4 linked regions of the Schizosaccharomyces pombe genome follow. Changing the gene in region 3 together with the main gene of any one other region gives a genetic interaction. Each region holds a gene or a part of one and is shown on either strand. Other genes may lie near its edges.

Region 1 (3,867 bases), on a different chromosome or scaffold from region 3:
GATTGTTAATTTTCAAAAAGAGTTTGTAGAAACTTTAAAAATACCCGCAAGGTACATATCAAATCTAACAAAAATACCACTTTAATGATCTAATGCTAACGAATATAGAATTTTGAATATGCCAACTGCGGAATTGGGATCTTCGGCCTCTCAAAAATATGACATCGAAGCGTGGATGCCAGCGCGACAATCATACGGGGAGATAACTTCAGCATCTAATTGTCTTGAATACCAAGCTAGGCGTCTACTCACACGATATCGAAATGACAAAGACTCGGGTTTTGTTCACACACTGAACGGCACAGCAGCTGCCATCCCTAGGTTAATAATAGCTATCCTTGAAAATCACCAACAAGAGGATGGCACTGTTAAAGTTCCGGAAACCCTTGTCCCTTACATACACAAGGAATACCTTTTTAAAGCAAAATAATTTTAGTACATCATAAGTCTTACTTACAACTAATTATTTAAGAAGGTTATACTAAAATTGATAATATATTTTGGACCAAAATAAAATTAGCAATTAACCTAAAACCTGTTCTGTCATAAGACAATCTATTTAATATTTTCACTCTTCACGTCACTGTCTTTTAAACCTTTTTTACGTTTATATCTTTCATTGACGACCTCCACTGATTCCTGACGTTGTCTAGAAAGAATTGGGATGTACTTTTTTGTTCGCTTCAGCAATCCTTCACCAACGTTCATAGTACTGCTTGACTCTTCCGATTTGCCATATCTTTTTACATTATGATCTGCTATGTCAAGCATAAACGAAGCTATCTGCTCTCGAATACGTAGACTATGCCACTGATGATATATGGTTTCATATGTATGTTTAGCGATACGAGGAGCAGTCGTAGGACTATCCGTAGGTAGTGTCCATTCAATATTATCAAAGTCACAGTCGTACAAAATCAAAGGATACTCACTTGCCATATCATAAATTGGCTTAGTAGGGACCTTTTTAATATCCAAAAGATCATTGATGAGAGAGGCCGGCTCAAGCTTTTGACCAATTAAAAATAGAATGGCCATCATACATCGTACCTGATGCCATAAAAATGCAGTTCCTTGTAGGTCAAAAGCGTAAAGACCGGTACTGGGATCAATGCAAATAACCTTTGAACTGAGAATTCGACGGTGATAATTTGTAATTTGTTTAGAAGCATCTATTTTGCAAAAATTTCGAAAGTCATGCTCACCTAGATAAAGTGCTGCGGCTTCATTCATTCGATCAATGTCAAGAGAACCACCGGGATAATCCTTAGTAAACAAGTATTTATAATGACGCTGTTTACAGGAAAATCGAGCATCAAAGCCTTCTGGTGGAAATGCATAGCCAGTAATACGTATATCTGCGGGCAACAGGCGATTCAATACATCACAATATATGATAGGTCTTCTTTCTGAATGTCGTACATTTAATGATATAACCTGACCCATGGCTGAAACTCCCTTATCAGTACGTCCACATCGACTAAAGGAACATGATGAAGGATCAGTGATGAGATGAGCTCTCAACAGCGCTTCAAACACCTTTCCTTCAACAGTGGGCAAAGGAGTCGGTTCTAACTGGTAGGCAAGACCATTGTAATTCCAACCACAATAGGCAAATTTAAAAGCAACAAAAACTGTTTTTTCTAGTTGAAACGGTCTGACAGGTTTCAGTTTTGGAAGACTACTTGCGTCCTGAAGCGCATGTTGCAAAACTAGTTCTTGGCTCAGATGCTGGGGTTCTATTTCATTTCCATTATCCAATTTGTTTTTATTTTTAATTACTTCATTTTTCCCCTCAATTTCTTTATTGGGAAGTGAATTTGTATTTTTTTGCAATTTCCCGTCCAATTCTAAAATTCTGGATATTAGCTGGTCTCGAGACCATCCAGCATATTTGGAGGCGGGCATTCGAAGGATTTTAGAAAATTGAAAAATCTTGCCTGAATTATATTGCCAATTTAATTACTGCCTTTGACGAGGTCAGGTGGCAGACGAATAGGTTCGCAAGGCTCTGATAATTAATGACTTGCTTGTCATAAGAGGCAGACATTTTCGCAGTAAAGTTATAAATCATCTATGTAACATTGAGAATTTATCAGATATATTTTTAGTTGCTCATTAGTACAACAGCTTTGGGATTCTGTATGGTCAGTTTGCAGTCTTGTTGGGCCAGCTGGAACTGTTACTAAAATATTGAGTTCACTTTACATTACGAGCAATGAAAATTATAGAAGCTTAGATTAACACAGCTACTTTCGAGATGATTCGTATTCCTTATAGTTGCATTGTAGACTTCCAATAAAGAAAGTGCATTTCCCGTTATGCAATTGATTTACTAGATAGTTCTTTAATATCAACATTATTGAAAATCACCTCTTTGTTGAGTCAACTCAATACTTAATATTTTTTTAAAGAATAAAATTCGCTACTGAATGTCGGTTGCTAATGAACAAAGCAATTGCTTCTACGAACTAATTTGTTAATTTTTTTTACTAAGCATTTCAATAGTTTGCCTTGTTAACGTATTTTTTATGTTCCTTGACATTTTTAATTTTAGTTTCTTCGTCTGCTACTAAACACGTTCACCTAAATCAATACTTGTTAAATTTAGCTGCAACACCGACATAAAAATTTATTTCATTACCTATAGTTACATTGAAACCGGTAGAAGGTTGTTTTTTGGTTCAAGAGTGACGTTTCGCTTATATTTTTTTTACTTATGTCGTTTTTAAAAAATCTCTTCAAGAAGAAATCCCCAACTCATGAATTATTCCATCCTTTATCGCGTTCTCCCTTAACGGCTCTTCGCCGTCGCTCTGAGCATATCAAACAAGTCTATCGGTGTCCAATTTCGGGAAAGTCAGTGGAATATGAGTGTCCTGAATCTGGATTTCCTACTCATTGTAATAGAACTCATTGGGAACAGGACAAGATTCACCAATCCCTTATCCCAAAACTACGCCAAATTAATGAAGACTATCATGACTTAGCACGACCAAACCCTTTGCCGGAACTACTCAAACTTCCTGGACCCATGGAAGAAGATGAAGTAGTTTCTCTTCTGTCATGGGATTCATTCTTCTATACCCGCGATTTCCCAAAGTTCCAATCGTCTAGAACTGCTAGACATATTACTAGTTTATTAACATATCCCATGTCAATCGGCGCTATCCTTCACAAGAATTCTCCTTATAATTTAAAAAATGGGTTAACTCCCCAGGGTCTACAATCATTAACTGCTCTACGATATATGCTTCATCGTCCTTTGTCTGCTCAATCTACTGATCCCAGACCCACTAGAATTTTCGTTTTGGGTGCTACCAAAGAATGTTCATTACCACCATCAATTTGGTTACAAGGATTGAACTTTTTGTTCCCAGGTCGTTTATTTCAATTGCATTTTATCGGACCTGAAGTTGTTGTTCCTTCTAAGCAACCCAATTTGCCTTCCCCACTCAGCCTTCATTTTCATCAGGATTACTACCACAATTTGCATAGAGTTGGAGCCTTTGAGCCTTTTGACCCCTACTATGATACTTTTTTTCTTCCGATGCCTCTTATAAGTCATCCACTTTATTCTTCATCGTGGATTCCGACACTTCACGATTTGGTATCGACTCGTTGCTCTGTATGGCTCACAAGTCCTTCATCTCAAAGAACAACCAAAGATTTGGAAGTTCTTAATAATGTTTTGAAAGATTCAATTGAGCCCTTGTTATTGCCAACTGTTAATAAATTTGCCAGCTTAGGCTGGTCTGTTGATGATTCAAACCTTCATGAAGTTTATCACGCAAATCAAGAAGTATTTGGATTCAGAGCCCTTTATTATAATGTCCAAAATGTTTCCAAAGAGTAATTCTTGTCCGT
Region 2 (5,384 bases), 1.3 Mb from region 3:
AAGTGGGATCGTAGTAACTAAATGGGGGTACATAAAACTGGTACTACTAAACAGATTTATCTAAGTTGTGAACAAATTTCAATAAACAAACGAATGTATAATCTCATCGGCAAGAAAATAATTTTTTACGTCAATCACTTATTTCACTTCTTTATTTTATTTTGAATATATCAAATGTAATCAAGTTTAGAAACGTAGACGGGTTCATGTATGAGCTTTCTTCGTTTCATTTGCATATATATCCTTTGTAAGATTCTGTTACTTTGAATATGTTTTCTTTATAAGTTGTAGATGGTAATTGCTACTCTTTAAATACAAGCTGTCTTCTACAATAATTTTAATTTTACCAGAGTATTTTTAATTATCCTCATGCGAGTAATTTTCTAATTATGTGGTGTAACAAAAATAGCGTTCGGTTAAATTTTAGTTCGCCGTGTTAAGTCTATTAATCAAAAAATTTGGGTTCGTAAAATTGTACGCCTATCTGCCTAGAATCAAGTGAAACCATATTACAGGCATAATGCTCCAATCGATAATGGGAATAAACAACTCAGACTTTGGAAATTCACAGCTACATTGCCATAATCATATTGTGGATGGGTGTGTCACCTTGAAATGTTTTATTGATAAACTAACTAGCAACTAATCTATGCTTTTTATCGGAAAAAATAAAAATAAAATAAACTCCTATAATAAAAGACCTTTTTGTACAAAATCATAATAATACCACCCTATTCCAGACATTTTTTTTACGTAAAATGACATATTAAAACCTCTTCGTTTTTTTTAGTACGAAGAAACTCCTCCATCTTCATACATAATACATATTTACGAGCCAAATTTGTGCTCATAAAAGCTTGCTGGCATTGATTTACTCATCAACATATCGGCGATTGGTCGTTCGACTACCAGCAATTCAGAGTTTCCTACAGAGCCTACAAGTAGCATTGGTCGATATTTGTGAGTAATCCAGAAACACCTAGAATCCCCTGTTCCATAATTTGAAATGCCGTTCGAATTAGCATTCGCCAATTTTTTGTCATTCAGATTCCCGTCAACTGTTGCATTCATTTCAATTTTACGTTTTCCGGCAGCGCGAGGCGCTGGTAATTGAAGATTAAGATCGAAAAATGAAACCCAGTTGGCTGACCAAATCCAGAATCGACTCGGATGTTTAGAGTCGAAAAATGCTCCGAATGCCTTATCTAGAAGTTGCGAAAATTCTTTGGGCATATTTGTAGAATTGTTTTTTGACCATTCAGATAATTTACGGGATTGAACATCAAACTCATAAACTTGATTTCCCGCCGTAGCAACAGCTAAACGGCCTCGTACATCTGGACGAAAAGCCATTGCACGAACATAAGTGTTAACTCGTGGTAACTCTGAATATGTTAAATTTGACAAGGAGTAGCAGAAAATATTTCCAACTGTGTCCGCAACAGCAAAATAATCTCCATCCGAAGATACCGCTATACTGCAAATACCATCACACATGCTGCTTACATTGCTTCGCTGACGAGGAGCAATTTTCTTGCTAGTGGGTTGTGATAACTCGAAAACTTCTAGCTGACGAGAATCCAGTCGACTTAATTCAATGAGAAATATCTCGGAATCGTTACTAACAAGGATAAGCTTGTTCTTATCTACAGTAAAACTAAGCAGGCTAGCACCAATATTTGAAAGGAAGGAGTCCTCAACTGTTTCAACTTTCACATTTTCATCGCTATACTGTAATTGATAAAGCTTCGTCCTCAAAACGGAAGAAATTGCAATTAATTCCCCATCAGGAGAAATTGCTGCATGTGAAATATTTTCTTCGTCAGCCAACACAATTTTTAATAAAAACCTATAGCCAGGAGACCCAATTCTCCAGAGAAGTACTTCATGATCATTCCATAACATAAAAAGCCTTGCTTTCGGTGCGACCGCCATGCGAGGGCGTTGAGGAACGGCAGATATCATCCTGTGATTCTTGCGATTAAATTGTCGAACAGGAATTACCGCAAGCATCATATCCATACCACCGCTAATAAGAACATCCAAACTTTTACATTCAAAAACGGCCATACATCGAACATCATGAGAATGGAACCTTCTAAAACTGTTGCTGACCCATTCTCTTTTACCTCCTTCGCGTGAGTACTGAATAGTTTTCCTGTCAATCCCTGAAGAAAATACCATATCTCCGTTAGCAGAAACACCCAAACACAAAGCATCAGCCAAATGTAGTTTGAACGATTGGCTTAATGTAAAGAATTTTCCATTCCAAAATTTAACAGCACCTGATGAATCGGCACTTACGATAGTGCCATCCCGTAAACTTTTCACGGCCCAAATTAAAGCAGCTTCTCCTTTTCGAGCACGATCTACTTGCATTCTAGAAATTATAGCGGAATTTGGAGTGCTAAGATCCCAAACTTTGATAACACCGTCAGCGCAACCACCAACAAGATGATCTTTTGTTTGAAAGTCGAGCGAAAGGATACGAGACGTTTGGCGCATCAAAACTCGTTTAAATTCGATGACACCTGGGCCACCACTAATGTCAAATAGAACGCAACTTCCATCATCACATCCAACAGCTAGAGTTTTAGTTTCATCGCATATAGCGATTGACCAAATAGCTCCTGCATTAGAGTCTTGGTTTACCAATGGTTTTCCAGTATGTAAATTCCATTCAGTAATAGTAGTTGAAAATCCTATACTGAATAATCGTAGCTCCTCTTCACCGGTACTCCAAACAATCCCTTCAATACTGCGATCTACACCACCGTATAACACAGTTTTTAAGCACCAATCGTTTCGAGGGTTCCATATTTCAATGTTTCCGCTAGCACGTCCAACAGCGAGTAGTAAATTGTTAGGCATAGAATCATTCTGACCGCTTTTATGGGAAAATGCCATTGCAGTAATAGCTGAAGGGGTATAGTCGATAAAGCGACAACGATGAATATCCATGTTGCTAATTAAATTTAAATAAAAGAAAGAACGAACAGGAAACTAATCAGAAGTATGTATGGAAAAAATTATTTTTTTGCACCAAAGTCAATTTCCCAAATCAAACCCAAAATATCGCCAAAGTCGGCTATTAGCTAGATAATTGTAATCCTTTTTTTGAAAAAAATATAAAAGAAAAAATTTAAAAGGTTTCAATGGAATAAATCAACTATGTTTTCGCTCTTTTTTTCAAAAATGAAAATTTTGATGAACGAGTGAATCCTCAGGATTCAACCACAAAACGAAGATCACAGTAGTATAGTGATTTCAACGTGAAGAATAATCAAAGTATCTACTATTAATATTACAAATATGTATTATTCTTCTAAAGCACTCTTCAGAGTGTCCTTTGGAACTCCGTTGGTAAATGGTAGTGGAAGAAATTTGTATTTACAAGGCTAGCACAACATGACCAAGAGCATCTACCATATTTAGGTGAAAGTGCGTTAGCAGTTATGTGTACGGCAATTAAGTTTTGAAAGTATTCATGTTAATTATTTTACATTTTAAGATGTCAATGAGATATTTATTCTCAATATTTAAACAAACACCAGATACCCTAGGAATAATTCAGCGACCTTCAATATGATCATTGTAGTATAATATTTTATTGAGGATGGATACTTACTAGCAAATTTAGTAATTGATAAATCATAGTGAAAATGTCATTTATTCTATCTACGATAATACCACATGACTTAGCATAGAAAACCGTATGTTACAGTACAGCAGTAAGCAGGTTCGTTGTCTGCCGTCTACCAACCATCAACTTCACAGATCTTGGTATCTATCCTACAAAAACTTTAGAAAATTTCTTCATGGTTCAGTTTGAAGCAAACGAGAAGCAATTTAAGCTTCGTCGAGAAGATTGTTGTTTAACAATTGACCGAGAAAGTGGTGCAGTTAGTTTTGAGCCGGACGAGTTGAAACCAGTTGCCCGCAGCAAAGAAAATAGTGTCACATTGTTTGGTTCAATCAAGCTGAAAAAAGATAAATATCTTATTTTAGCTACAGAAAAATCTAGTGCAGCCCAAATTTTGGGACATAAAATATATCGTGTTCATAAATTTGAAGTTATTCCCTATCGTAACCTACTAGCTGACGATCAAGATGAATTGGATTTATACAATTTGTTACAAAATCATTTGAAAACAGGACCTTTTTACTTCTCGTACACATGGGACCTTACTAACTCCCTACAACGTTCTTGTACGGATGAGGGAAAGGCCTCACCTATTCTTCGAAGTGATAAACGATTTTTTTGGAACGAGTTTGCTAGTAAAGATTTCATTGATCTTATCGGTGCCCATTCTGAAGTATCACTTTTCATTACGCCAATGATTTACGGCTTCATCACTTCTGCTTCCACTATTGTTAAGGGACGAACAATCACGTTAGCATTAATATCTCGACGCTCTAAACAACGCGCCGGTACTAGATATTTTACCAGAGGTTTAGACGAGAATGGAAACCCCGCCAACTTCAATGAAACTGAGCAGATTACTATCGTTTCAGACGAAAAGTCAGAGGTCACTTATTCACATGTTCAGACCCGCGGTAGTGTTCCTGCTTTTTGGGCAGAGGTTAATAATCTTCGCTATAAACCATTGATGGTTGCAAATTCTGCTTCAATGGCTGCAGCCGCTGCAAAAAAGCATTTCGACGAGCAAATATCCATATACGGTGACCAGGTTGTAGTTAATTTGGTCAACTGTAAAGGACATGAGCTTCCTATTAAACAGTTATATGAAAATGTTATACGTCGTTTGGATAATCCCCATATCCATTATCATTATTTTGACTTTCATAAAGAATGTAGCCATATGAGGTGGGACCGGGTTTCACTCCTTTTAAATGAAATACAACCCGAGTTAGAAGAGCAAGGCTACACTACATTAGACACTCAAAAGTACCGTGTTTTATCTCGTCAGAATGGCGTTGTACGCTCCAACTGCATGGATTGTCTTGATAGAACCAATGTGGTCCAAAGCTGTATAGGTCGCTGGGTGCTTACGAATCAACTTCGTAAATGCGGAATTATAGGTGCTACCCATCCCCTTCGTTCCGTCATTCCTCTTGATAACATTTTTTGCAACATTTGGTCTGATAATGCAGATTACATTAGTCTTTCTTATTCTGGTACAGGAGCTTTGAAAACCGATTTTACTAGAACCGGTATTCGAACTCGAAAAGGCGCTTTTAACGATTTTGTTAACTCTGCTAAACGTTATATTTTAAATAATTTTTATGATGGAGCACGTCAAGATGCTTATGATTTAGTACTTGGACAGTTTAGACCCGATGTTAACTTCCGATATAGATTAGATTTACGTCCTCTTACTATTCGTTGTGTCCCTTATATATTATTGGCATGTTTAATCCTT
Region 3 (3,682 bases):
GAGTGAATGTTCTTCGGCCTGTAGACGATTTAGTACAAGAAAAGCAAAGGAAAAAGTAGCAACACCGGCAATTAGCACGTAAAGAAAAATTTTTTTTTTAGAATTTGAAAACATAGTGAAAGAGTTTAATTAAACGAGCACGTTGCGCCAGGAGGTCAATTAGAGAGACGTGAATATTAATTGTCCCTTTGAATAAAAGAATAAAATAAAACCAAACTTAAAGATCGTTGAGAATTAAACAAAAGACTCCTTGAATATATGAGCCAGCAAACAGAATATAACTCTGAAAGGAGTATAATGTTTGGTTCTGAAAACAAAGCTGTGCTTGGTGCCATATTCACGTCCACCATAAATACGCAGTCATAATGTAACCAGAAGAGCAGCTACTCAAACCCTTAATGCCCTCATAGCGTTGGTAACTATAAATGCGTTAACTATATATACCGGGTTGCTACATTTCTTTATCTCAGAGTCCATTAACCAAAGGATTCATACATATACAATTTTTCTATTTTGTTTATTTTTATGAATAATTTAATAGGAGATACTCGTTAAATGAACTTAGTTTTAGTATTCAGTTTCCTCTATAGGTGTTTGAAATTTTTTCTAGACTGTCATGTTACTACTATTTTTTAAAATTAGATTCCTTGCAAAATGTCAAGGAAGCAAGCAGATTTGGCGTACATTAGCAATGTTAGATGTGCAACACGATAGAAGCAAGTACTTTGAATGAGCCCTTGTCTTGGCTTAAGTTATTAACATGCGTTAACGCCATTAATATATAAAATATAAGGAACAACTCAACATCACAATGAATAAAAAAAATGTTAAATCTGAGTTATGCATATTACAGATAATGTCATCAATTTTTTTAAATGCTGTGAACCTAATATCGAAGTGAATAAAAATAACCTTTAACTAATACCTCCTAAAAAATCTGAGTAAAACGTTCCAGTTTTAACCATTGTACTCTAACACCAAATGACGCTCTACCACTGTTTCTTTCCCAACTTCCTCTTCTCCTTCAAATCGAAGTTTACATGATCCATCAGGCAGAGTGCGAATGACTTCTGCCCGATAAAACGTAGTAGTTTCAGGATATCGAGCTAAAACATTTGTTTTTGGGCTTATTGGGGGTAAAGGAGTTCCTTTTGCAGGAATTTGTATAAGATGATTAGCTGTAGTTTTATAAATTTGACCTGCATTACCGTCATCATCCGGTTCTGGATCCTGCACTTCAAATCTATGGTTTTGTTAATATACTGGTAAAAAAATATTATCAACATATAAGCTTAGAAGTAAATTTGAACTCGCGACTGACAATATTTGCTTTTGAAAACTCACCTCTGTTTTGCTCCTTCTCCAGTCACTTTAATAATGATACATTGAATCCAATCACCTCCCTCGTTATGCCTCGTGTATGGTAACTTGAAAGCTACAGACATGCCAGGTGTAAAGGTTACTGTATTTGCTGTAAAGCTTGTTCCTCGGTTTCGACGACTTCTCGTCAAAGGACTATTTGTAATTACAGGTTTTTCATTGGCTTTTTCGAGTACATTAATAATCATCTCAAGAGATTGCATTGTATGCTCCAATTCTTTTTTCTGTTCTTCAGAGGTTTGAATTCCCGCGTCACACGCTTTAATTCTTTCTTCAATTGGATTATCGTCGCCATCAACCGTTTTATAACATTCTTCTTGTTTTATTAAACTAGACCGAATGGGATTTAGGCTTTCATGAAATTTAACCCACATGGATGTCACATCCTCTTCAGCATTTATGGGGCGTACCATAATATCCTGTAACTGATATTCTCAAACAACACTTTTCATCATCCAATTTCCTTTGGTAGGTGCTAACTCACTTACTAGATTGATTTGCATGATACTATCAGCTATGCAAATTACTTTATTACAAATTTCATTAACACTCGATATTGTATTTACCGTATCGTTGCTGCATTAGGTTACGTAGTTAACTATTCACTTAAGTCATGGAATACTGTCTGTTAACGAAGTTCGTTAAACGATTCTCGTTTAGCAACGACTCTAAATACTGTATGTCGTATATTTCCTGCTAGAATACATCAATTCCGATTGTTATACTGTTGAAACTACAAATCCCAAAAAATTCAATATCACAATGAAAGCTCTAGTTCGAATCATGTTTTGCTTCAATCCTAGCTAGCACTGTTAAAGTATAGATATAAGAAAGGACAGCTTTGTTGATAGACTAGTTAAATTAAAATAAAAACAGTTAAACGTAATTAATATATATAAGTTTACGTTATTCAAAACATTTCAAAAAATGTGCTACTCTTTGAAGTACACGTCAGTAAGGAAACACGTTGATAAAAAGCCAGTATTCAAACATAGACAGTGTTAAATTATCACTGGAGATGATGATGTATGGAATACATGTCTAAATTTAAGCATCATAGTTAGAACGACAAAATTGATAGAAATTGAATAGCAGTGTAAAACTTGTTGAAGCGCGCACACAAACAGTAACCTGTAACAACAAGTCCTATAATCAAGCTTCTATATTGACTTCAGTAGGCAGCGAGATTTTAAGACACATCTAGGTAAATTTAAAAACGCTTTATTCAAGCTGAACATAATTACCAGGAAATTGACCTTGTGCACCGTTAAGTCGGCCAATCCACCATTCCTAAAATATATATTAGTAAAGTCCTTGTTTAATAAGAAAAAAATGAAAATTTAAGTTTAAGTACTTACATTTTGATTATCAGTACGTGAAACAACTTCGATACGATCGCCAGCATGAAAAGATAAATCTCCGGCTGCTTGGGCAGCATAATCATATAAAGCAACAACATGCTCTGCGGCGGGAGCCGCAGCAGGTGCAGGCGCTGGTGGAGGTACGGGAACTGCGGCTGCAGCTGCTGCTACCGGTGCAGCAACAGGTGTGGTCACTGCCGCAGCAGCAGGTTGAGGCATAACTGGAGGGGGAGGAAAGGCCGCTTGAGGGTATTGAGCAGCTGCTGCTTCAGTTGTAGTAGTGGTCGTCTGAACAGTTTGATAACCTGCACTTGGGGTAGAATAATCGGAAGCTCCGGCAACCGATGGCGTTGAGTATGGGGGTGGAATATCCGTAGCTGTCGAAGAGGAGGGTTCGGCTGCTGCTTCTTCACGCTTTGACGAAAAGGAAGAAGAAGAAGAAGCAGTTGCATCTTTACCACCCGGTCCCATACCCGGTCGTTTATACGTCGGTTTAGCGGTCTTAAATTTAGTAATCGTCAAAGCCTCTGCGCGATCTTTAACATCGCCGCGTCTTCTTTCGTACGATTCCAAAATATCGGTATTGAAATCAAAGTACTGAATTTCGCAGTGACTCATCTTTTCATAAAGAACGTAATAGACATTTAATTGCATATAGTAAAATCCTTGGAATAAGGGAGCAATGAAGCTCTGAGCCAATGCAAATAGTTTAGGTAACTCCTCCTTCAGCATTTCATTATAATATTCATATTCTTGGGAAGATTGTTCAAAGGCGGTTTCAGCTTCATAAAGCTTCTTCTCATCTTTAAGGCTTTTATCCTTCTTTTCCTGAAGTTTCTTGAAAGATGAACGATGACGATCATAATCCAGCTGCTTATGATCGCGTTTCAACAAAAGCTTATCTACATCCTTAACAATCTTGAGCAGTTCACCAGTTGGAT
Region 4 (5,352 bases), on a different chromosome or scaffold from region 3:
TTTTTCACGTACGGAATCTTGCTGCGTTAAATCCACTCCTTTCAATATTTCTTCATCTTCTTCATCTTCTTTTTGCTTTTGAACTTCAAGGAATTTCTTATTACAAGAGTCATCAGTCCCAACATCCTCTTCAGTAATATCTTTCAACAGGTCAGGAGGTAGTTCGAATATTGAGGTTAATTCTTGTGCAGCTTCCTCAAAAATCTCAGCGAATTCACGAAGATACTCCGACAATGACATCGACTTTTTTTGTGTTTGTTTTTTTTGTTATAATGATGGTTCTTGATCAAAAGGAGAAGGGGAATGCTTACCTATTCCTCGATCAGTTCAGTGTTGACTTATAGTGTGGTCCAGTGCAATGCGGAATGTGATATCCGTGCCATCACACTATTGTAAAAGCCGTAGATATACTTTGATCAATTTTAAGCTACGCATTCAAATAGTAACTTAATTTTTGCTCTCTTAATTGTTAAATCATCATTACTAAATATTTGAGCAGGCTCTTGAGAACATCTGCACCTTAACATTATTAAAAAGTATATGTAAACAAATTATTATTACTACGGTTGACTGATTAAAAGAAAACCACATCATAAATTCATACGAGTCCTTTGAATTTATCTTTTTTGTACACAGTACCAAGCTCATTTCAAGACTTCAAGCCTTTGATTTCTAAGTTCTTAAAAGGTGAAAGAGTTATAATAGTCAAATAAACCAGTGGAACATTTAATTATCATGAGCTATTAGTGTTCTTATTTCATCTTTTTCGGAAGAAAAAGAGAGCAAAAAATGAAAAAAAGTTGTCCAGCATCAGACAAATTTGTTACTCTGCCTAGTGTTAACAAAATATATAGAAGATAGACCGCAGTAAAGCGAGACAAAGAAATTAAATGAAATATAAAGATTATTTTTTTTAAACATTTGTCCAGCTTGCATAGCTTCGCCTTGACAAAATTTTCTGGCTCATTTATCTTTTAGATTTTCGTTTTTTACTTTCCCATTCATGCCAACTTCCTTGCATGTTTTTCAAACTAAACACATAAGTTAGATAAATATCATTCAACGATAAATTTTATACTTACATGACTGCTGGCTCTGGAGGTGGGCTCTCAGAAGTGAAATACTCATGCATCAAGGTCTCATGAGCTGACGGTCTACAAAAGGGATTTAGGGCAAGGAGTTTTTGGCATAGGTCAATGGCGGCAGGACTTAAAATCTCCTTAAAAGTTTCAACAAAACGCGACTTCTTTTCCTCTACTGGCTTCAGAAGCTCATACCAAGGAAGATTTTTCACCTCAGGCCAAGAATGAACATCAGGGGTACCCATCATATCATAGATAACCTCTAACTGACTGATTTCGTCTCGCCCTTGAAAAAAAGGTTTTCCTGTAAACAACTCCATAACAATACAGCCAGCACTCCATATGTCCACGGCTGTGTCATATGCAGTTTCTCCAAGTAATAGCTCTGGAGGTCGAAACCAAAGGGTAATAACGCGATTAGTGTAGTTAGCCGACTTCGAAGATGTATTAAATCTCGCCAGACCAAAATCTGCGAATTTTAGATCACCATTGTTATTCAGTAATATATTAGAACCTTTAATGTCACGATGAAGCACCCCACGATGATGAAGATAAGCTAATGCTTCAAAAATTTGCTTCGAAAGGTGTTTTATGTTACCGGGAGTAAAATGTAATTGTGAATTTAGTAAGACTCCAGTTAAATCGTGATCCATGTACTCAAATACCATATATACAGAACCTAGAATTTTAAAATGTTAGAACTAGTTATAATTAAACGGTGAATGAGGACAGTATTTAATCGTACTTTTTTCCACCATAATTTCTAATAGCCGAACAATATTTTTGTGACGCAAACGCTGCAAGATTTTGACTTCACGGACAGTAGTTATAGGGAACTAGAAAGTTAGTCAATTTAGTTACGAGCTTGATTTTTATACTTACACCATCCTTTTCCTGCTCCAGCCTTATCCGTTTTAAAGCTACCAAATCTCCTGTGACTGTGTTAATGGCTTTGTATACTTTACCATAAGTTCCTTCTCCAATTTGGTCGATTTTCTCATAGGCAGGCTTTGGATATGTATATGTATAAATTGGGCCGGAAGGAGGAGAAGGAAGAGGAGCTGGAACAGACTCACGGGCCGTGGACGTGAGTGCCATACGTTTCGAAGGAGGTTGATCGAATCGAGATCGGCGTTCATTAGGTATATGAAAGTGAAATTTTCCATGTTTGTTCTCTGGAAAGCCAGAAGACACGCTAGATTTTTTTTGTGTATCGGAGGAAGTAGTTTCATGAGGGATAGAAGGAATAGGGGGAGGAGAAGATGAAGGTCTCCGCGATACCTTTCGACCGTTAAAAGCTGAAGGCTTCATATGTACAGAACTAGGCGGAGACCTTCGAAAAGAAGAAGCTTGCCTTTTTGAATCATTTCTGTTTGCGGACGGTGATATAGGTGAGACGGAGGCGCTAGAAGAGCTTTCAGAGCGTTTGGCAAAGTAATCCTTGGTAGTTAAATTACGTGCTCGTTTTTGACTACCTGAGCGGTAAAAGGAAGGTGATGGAGGTGAGCCAGGTCTAGGACTGAATGCCTTTTTACCCTTTCTCCTTCTAGATTTTCGAGAACGAAAAGGTCTTTCATGCTGTCTTGCTCGGGAAGAATGTGTATCGTTGAGAGGAAATGTTCTTTTCCGCTGTTCTCGAGGATCCTTCGCAGATGAGGATGGCGATATACTAGATGAATTATTTTTGAAAGCATTAGAGGACAGGGTGTGGCCTCCTAAAGACTCCTCATTTGTACCAGAAAGCTGAGACTTTTCTTCGACGGTACGCCGAAAGTGGCTATTTGGTTCTGTGCCTTGTCGGCGATAAATTGTACTCTTCGAGTATGACATTTAACAGGGTTAAAAAAAATAAAAAATAAAAAAAGGAATATTCCTAAACAATGAAGAGAATTACACGCAATCTGTGAGCGAAAATTCGATGGGAATAAAAGAAAAGAAATTAATCGTTAAAGTACGGCCAAATGTGTTTTTATGTAACAATAAATACAACTTCACCGGAAAAAAATCGTACAAGGGAAATAAAAGGTAAGCTGCCAAGACAAGCTAGTTAAATCCAGTGAAATAAATCATGCAATCTAATAAATGAAGAAAGGACAATTTTCAGAGTGGAGATTTTTTTCACCGCTAAACTATGAAGGGTGAACGTGAGACAAACCTTTTCAATCAATAGAGAAATCTAACCAGAGATTTGTGAATAAGTCGGTTGCAGAAATGTTATTGAAACGTAAATGTACAAAATATGAGTATCCACAAAATTAGGAAATACTTTTAAGTATCAACTCTTGCAGCTTAAAAAAATATACCGTAATTTTCTTTTAGTTGCACTCCTGATTTCTTTGATCTATCAATTCAAAATGTACATTGTTAAAAACACCAATTATCTCGAAATTTAATAAAGACAGAAATAAATTAGTTCTTCCTCTTCTATGACAATGAATGAAGTAGTTTGCAAGTCCACTAGTTTAATCAAGGGGCGATAGGTAAACTTCGTTGTTGGTGTGTAGTAGAAATAGAAATAAACGCGCGCGACTCAATTCCTTTACCACACCATACTTAAAATAATAAGTAATTTGAGGCTATGATGAATATCAGCTTGTTTTATAGAAATCAAAGTAAATAATGTATTTATTCAATGCTTAACTCTTAGCCATTTTCTCTTCCCCATTTGCTAAGATGGTCTTTTAACTATTAACTAAGTCCAACCAGTTATTCTCAATTCATATAATATTATTGGATTAAACCTTTTCATCTGAATTATATTAAGTTCATATTTAACATTTTAAAAAGCGATGAAGATAAATCTGGTAATCCGCATGGATCCTTGGAAATTGCCATTGGCGATAGTAAACCAAAGGAATCAAATGTCGACTAGATAAAGGCAAGTCTGAGCTTTTCTATTAGTTTTGAATCGTTTAAAATAATATTATTTATGAGAAATTAATATTCTACCATAAATTAGTGTTTTCCGTGAGTCTAAAGAATACAAAGTAAAATAATCAATAATATGCAACCCTTACATGTAAGGTAGGAGGGAATATATTATTTTACTGTATATAGAAGTTTTACATCCTTTCATAAGTATAACGTTATCACATTGGACGTTCTAGTAGAACGCCAGTCTTCAAAACATTAAAAATTCATATTCAGCCTCTCAAAATCTATTGTGTGCAAATTGTTTGCAAAGCTAAATTAATCAATAATATTTTTTTAAAAATTAAACAAAAATGCTTGGTTTTAGAAAGAACAAGGTTAGGTCAAGAGCTTCAAGATGAATAACTCATGGAATTCTGTTCCTGTTGTTTATTCAATTTTAAGAGTGATGATTTTGACATAAATTTGGTGCAATATTGTTTAAATAATAGTCTCATTAGTTAAACTAAATGTTTAAAAAAAAAAAAAATCATTGCAAAAAGCTAAATGAGCATAATTGATTTTTTATAAGTTTTTTTTTTCAAAAATGCAAACAAATAAATTAAATTTGTTTAATGAAATTAAAAAATAAAAAGGTAGATGATCGTACAAACGGCTACTACCAGTACGATATAATTTTTTATAAAAATTCCAAAACGTAAGCATAATTAATATGAAATAATAAAATATCATAGAAATTCAAGTGTACAAGGATCCTACGACCAAATGTTTGCTTTCATATGTATATATTCAATTCTAAATATTTATATAGCTTACTCAATTTGTGCAATTTTAACAAAGAAACGTGATTTTATTACAATAAATAGGTCATTAAAAAAATAAAAATTTGCACTTATATTCAATTGACTGACATACAAAACGTATTATCAGAGTTAGACTTAAATAAAATTTTCCTTATTCAACGGACATCCTATACTGGTTTCTGTGGATTTATGATATATTTGCATATGGTAAATTCAGCGAGAGAGTCCCTTGCACTCAATTATATTCACCAATAATACTTAATGAATCTTAATCGAAAAGACATGGACGTTGTGCTTTCAAATGCGAAAACCATATCTTCTTATTCAACATTTAATATGGGGTAAAAGTAGAGTACTTCTAATATCTTAAAGCAAAGCAAAAAAAATAAGCTCTTTTATTATGTTATATTTTCGTTAATAAAAATCGCTTCTTCAAACATTTATTCATCACAGGTGCGATATAAGAATCTGAGTTTGTACTCTATAGCAGCTCTTTTAGCTTTCAGTATTTAATTTATTCAAATGCTATATGCATAATTCCTTCATAGTTTGGCTATGTCTTATCGTTTCGTTTAGTATATTTACAATTCCATTTT

The links.
Region 1: mutations in sgf29 (region 3) and deg1 together harm fitness less than expected from each alone (positive genetic interaction), as found in Schizosaccharomyces pombe (2 studies listed by BioGRID).
Region 2: mutations in sgf29 (region 3) and utp4 together harm fitness more than expected from each alone (negative genetic interaction), as found in Schizosaccharomyces pombe (2 studies listed by BioGRID).
Region 4: mutations in sgf29 (region 3) and lsk1 are lethal when combined (synthetic lethality), as found in Schizosaccharomyces pombe (2 studies listed by BioGRID, with this or other methods).

The regions. Positions count from the first base shown.
Region 1 is NC_003424.3:4,160,841-4,164,707, reverse strand, and holds deg1 (tRNA-pseudouridine synthase), read right to left. Parts: upstream 1,990-3,867; 5' UTR 1,909-1,989; coding exon 556-1,908; 3' UTR 501-555; downstream 1-500. Other genes in the region: dia4 (serine--tRNA (Ser) ligase), read left to right, coding at 1-51, 109-430; splicing suppressor Mss51, read left to right, coding at 2,720-3,856.
Region 2 is NC_003423.3:3,702,914-3,708,297, forward strand, and holds utp4 (U3 snoRNP protein Utp4), read right to left. Parts: upstream 3,373-5,384; 5' UTR 2,962-3,372; coding exon 829-2,961; 3' UTR 543-828; downstream 1-542. Other genes in the region: sac11 (inositol polyphosphate phosphatase), read left to right, coding at 3,819-5,384. UniProt on the Schizosaccharomyces pombe protein: Involved in nucleolar processing of pre-18S ribosomal RNA. Required for optimal pre-ribosomal RNA transcription by RNA polymerase I together with a subset of U3 proteins required for transcription (t-UTPs).
Region 3 is NC_003423.3:2,418,189-2,421,870, forward strand, and holds sgf29 (SAGA complex subunit Sgf29), read right to left. Parts: upstream 1,858-3,682; 5' UTR 1,794-1,857; coding exon 1,345-1,793; exon of another isoform or gene 1,244-1,344; coding exon 958-1,243; 3' UTR 550-957; downstream 1-549. Other genes in the region: pvg3 (galactosylxylosylprotein 3-beta-galactosyltransferase Pvg1), read right to left, coding at 1-114; BAR adaptor protein Hob1, read right to left, coding at 2,602-2,670, 2,739-3,682. UniProt on the Schizosaccharomyces pombe protein: Chromatin reader component of the transcription coactivator SAGA complex. SAGA acts as a general cofactor required for essentially all RNA polymerase II transcription.
Region 4 is NC_003424.3:3,952,031-3,957,382, reverse strand, and holds lsk1 (P-TEFb-associated cyclin-dependent protein kinase Lsk1), read right to left. Parts: upstream 3,588-5,352; 5' UTR 2,913-3,587; coding exon 1,965-2,912; intron 1,919-1,964; coding exon 1,828-1,918; intron 1,813-1,827; exon of another isoform or gene 1,762-1,812; coding exon 1,083-1,761; exon of another isoform or gene 1,032-1,082; coding exon 968-1,031; 3' UTR 514-967; downstream 1-513. Other genes in the region: SPOM_SPAC2F3.16 (ubiquitin-protein ligase E3), read right to left, coding at 1-240. UniProt on the Schizosaccharomyces pombe protein: Catalytic subunit of the CTDK-I complex, which hyperphosphorylates the C-terminal heptapeptide repeat domain (CTD) of the largest RNA polymerase II subunit. Involved in RNA polymerase II transcriptional elongation and pre-mRNA 3'-end processing.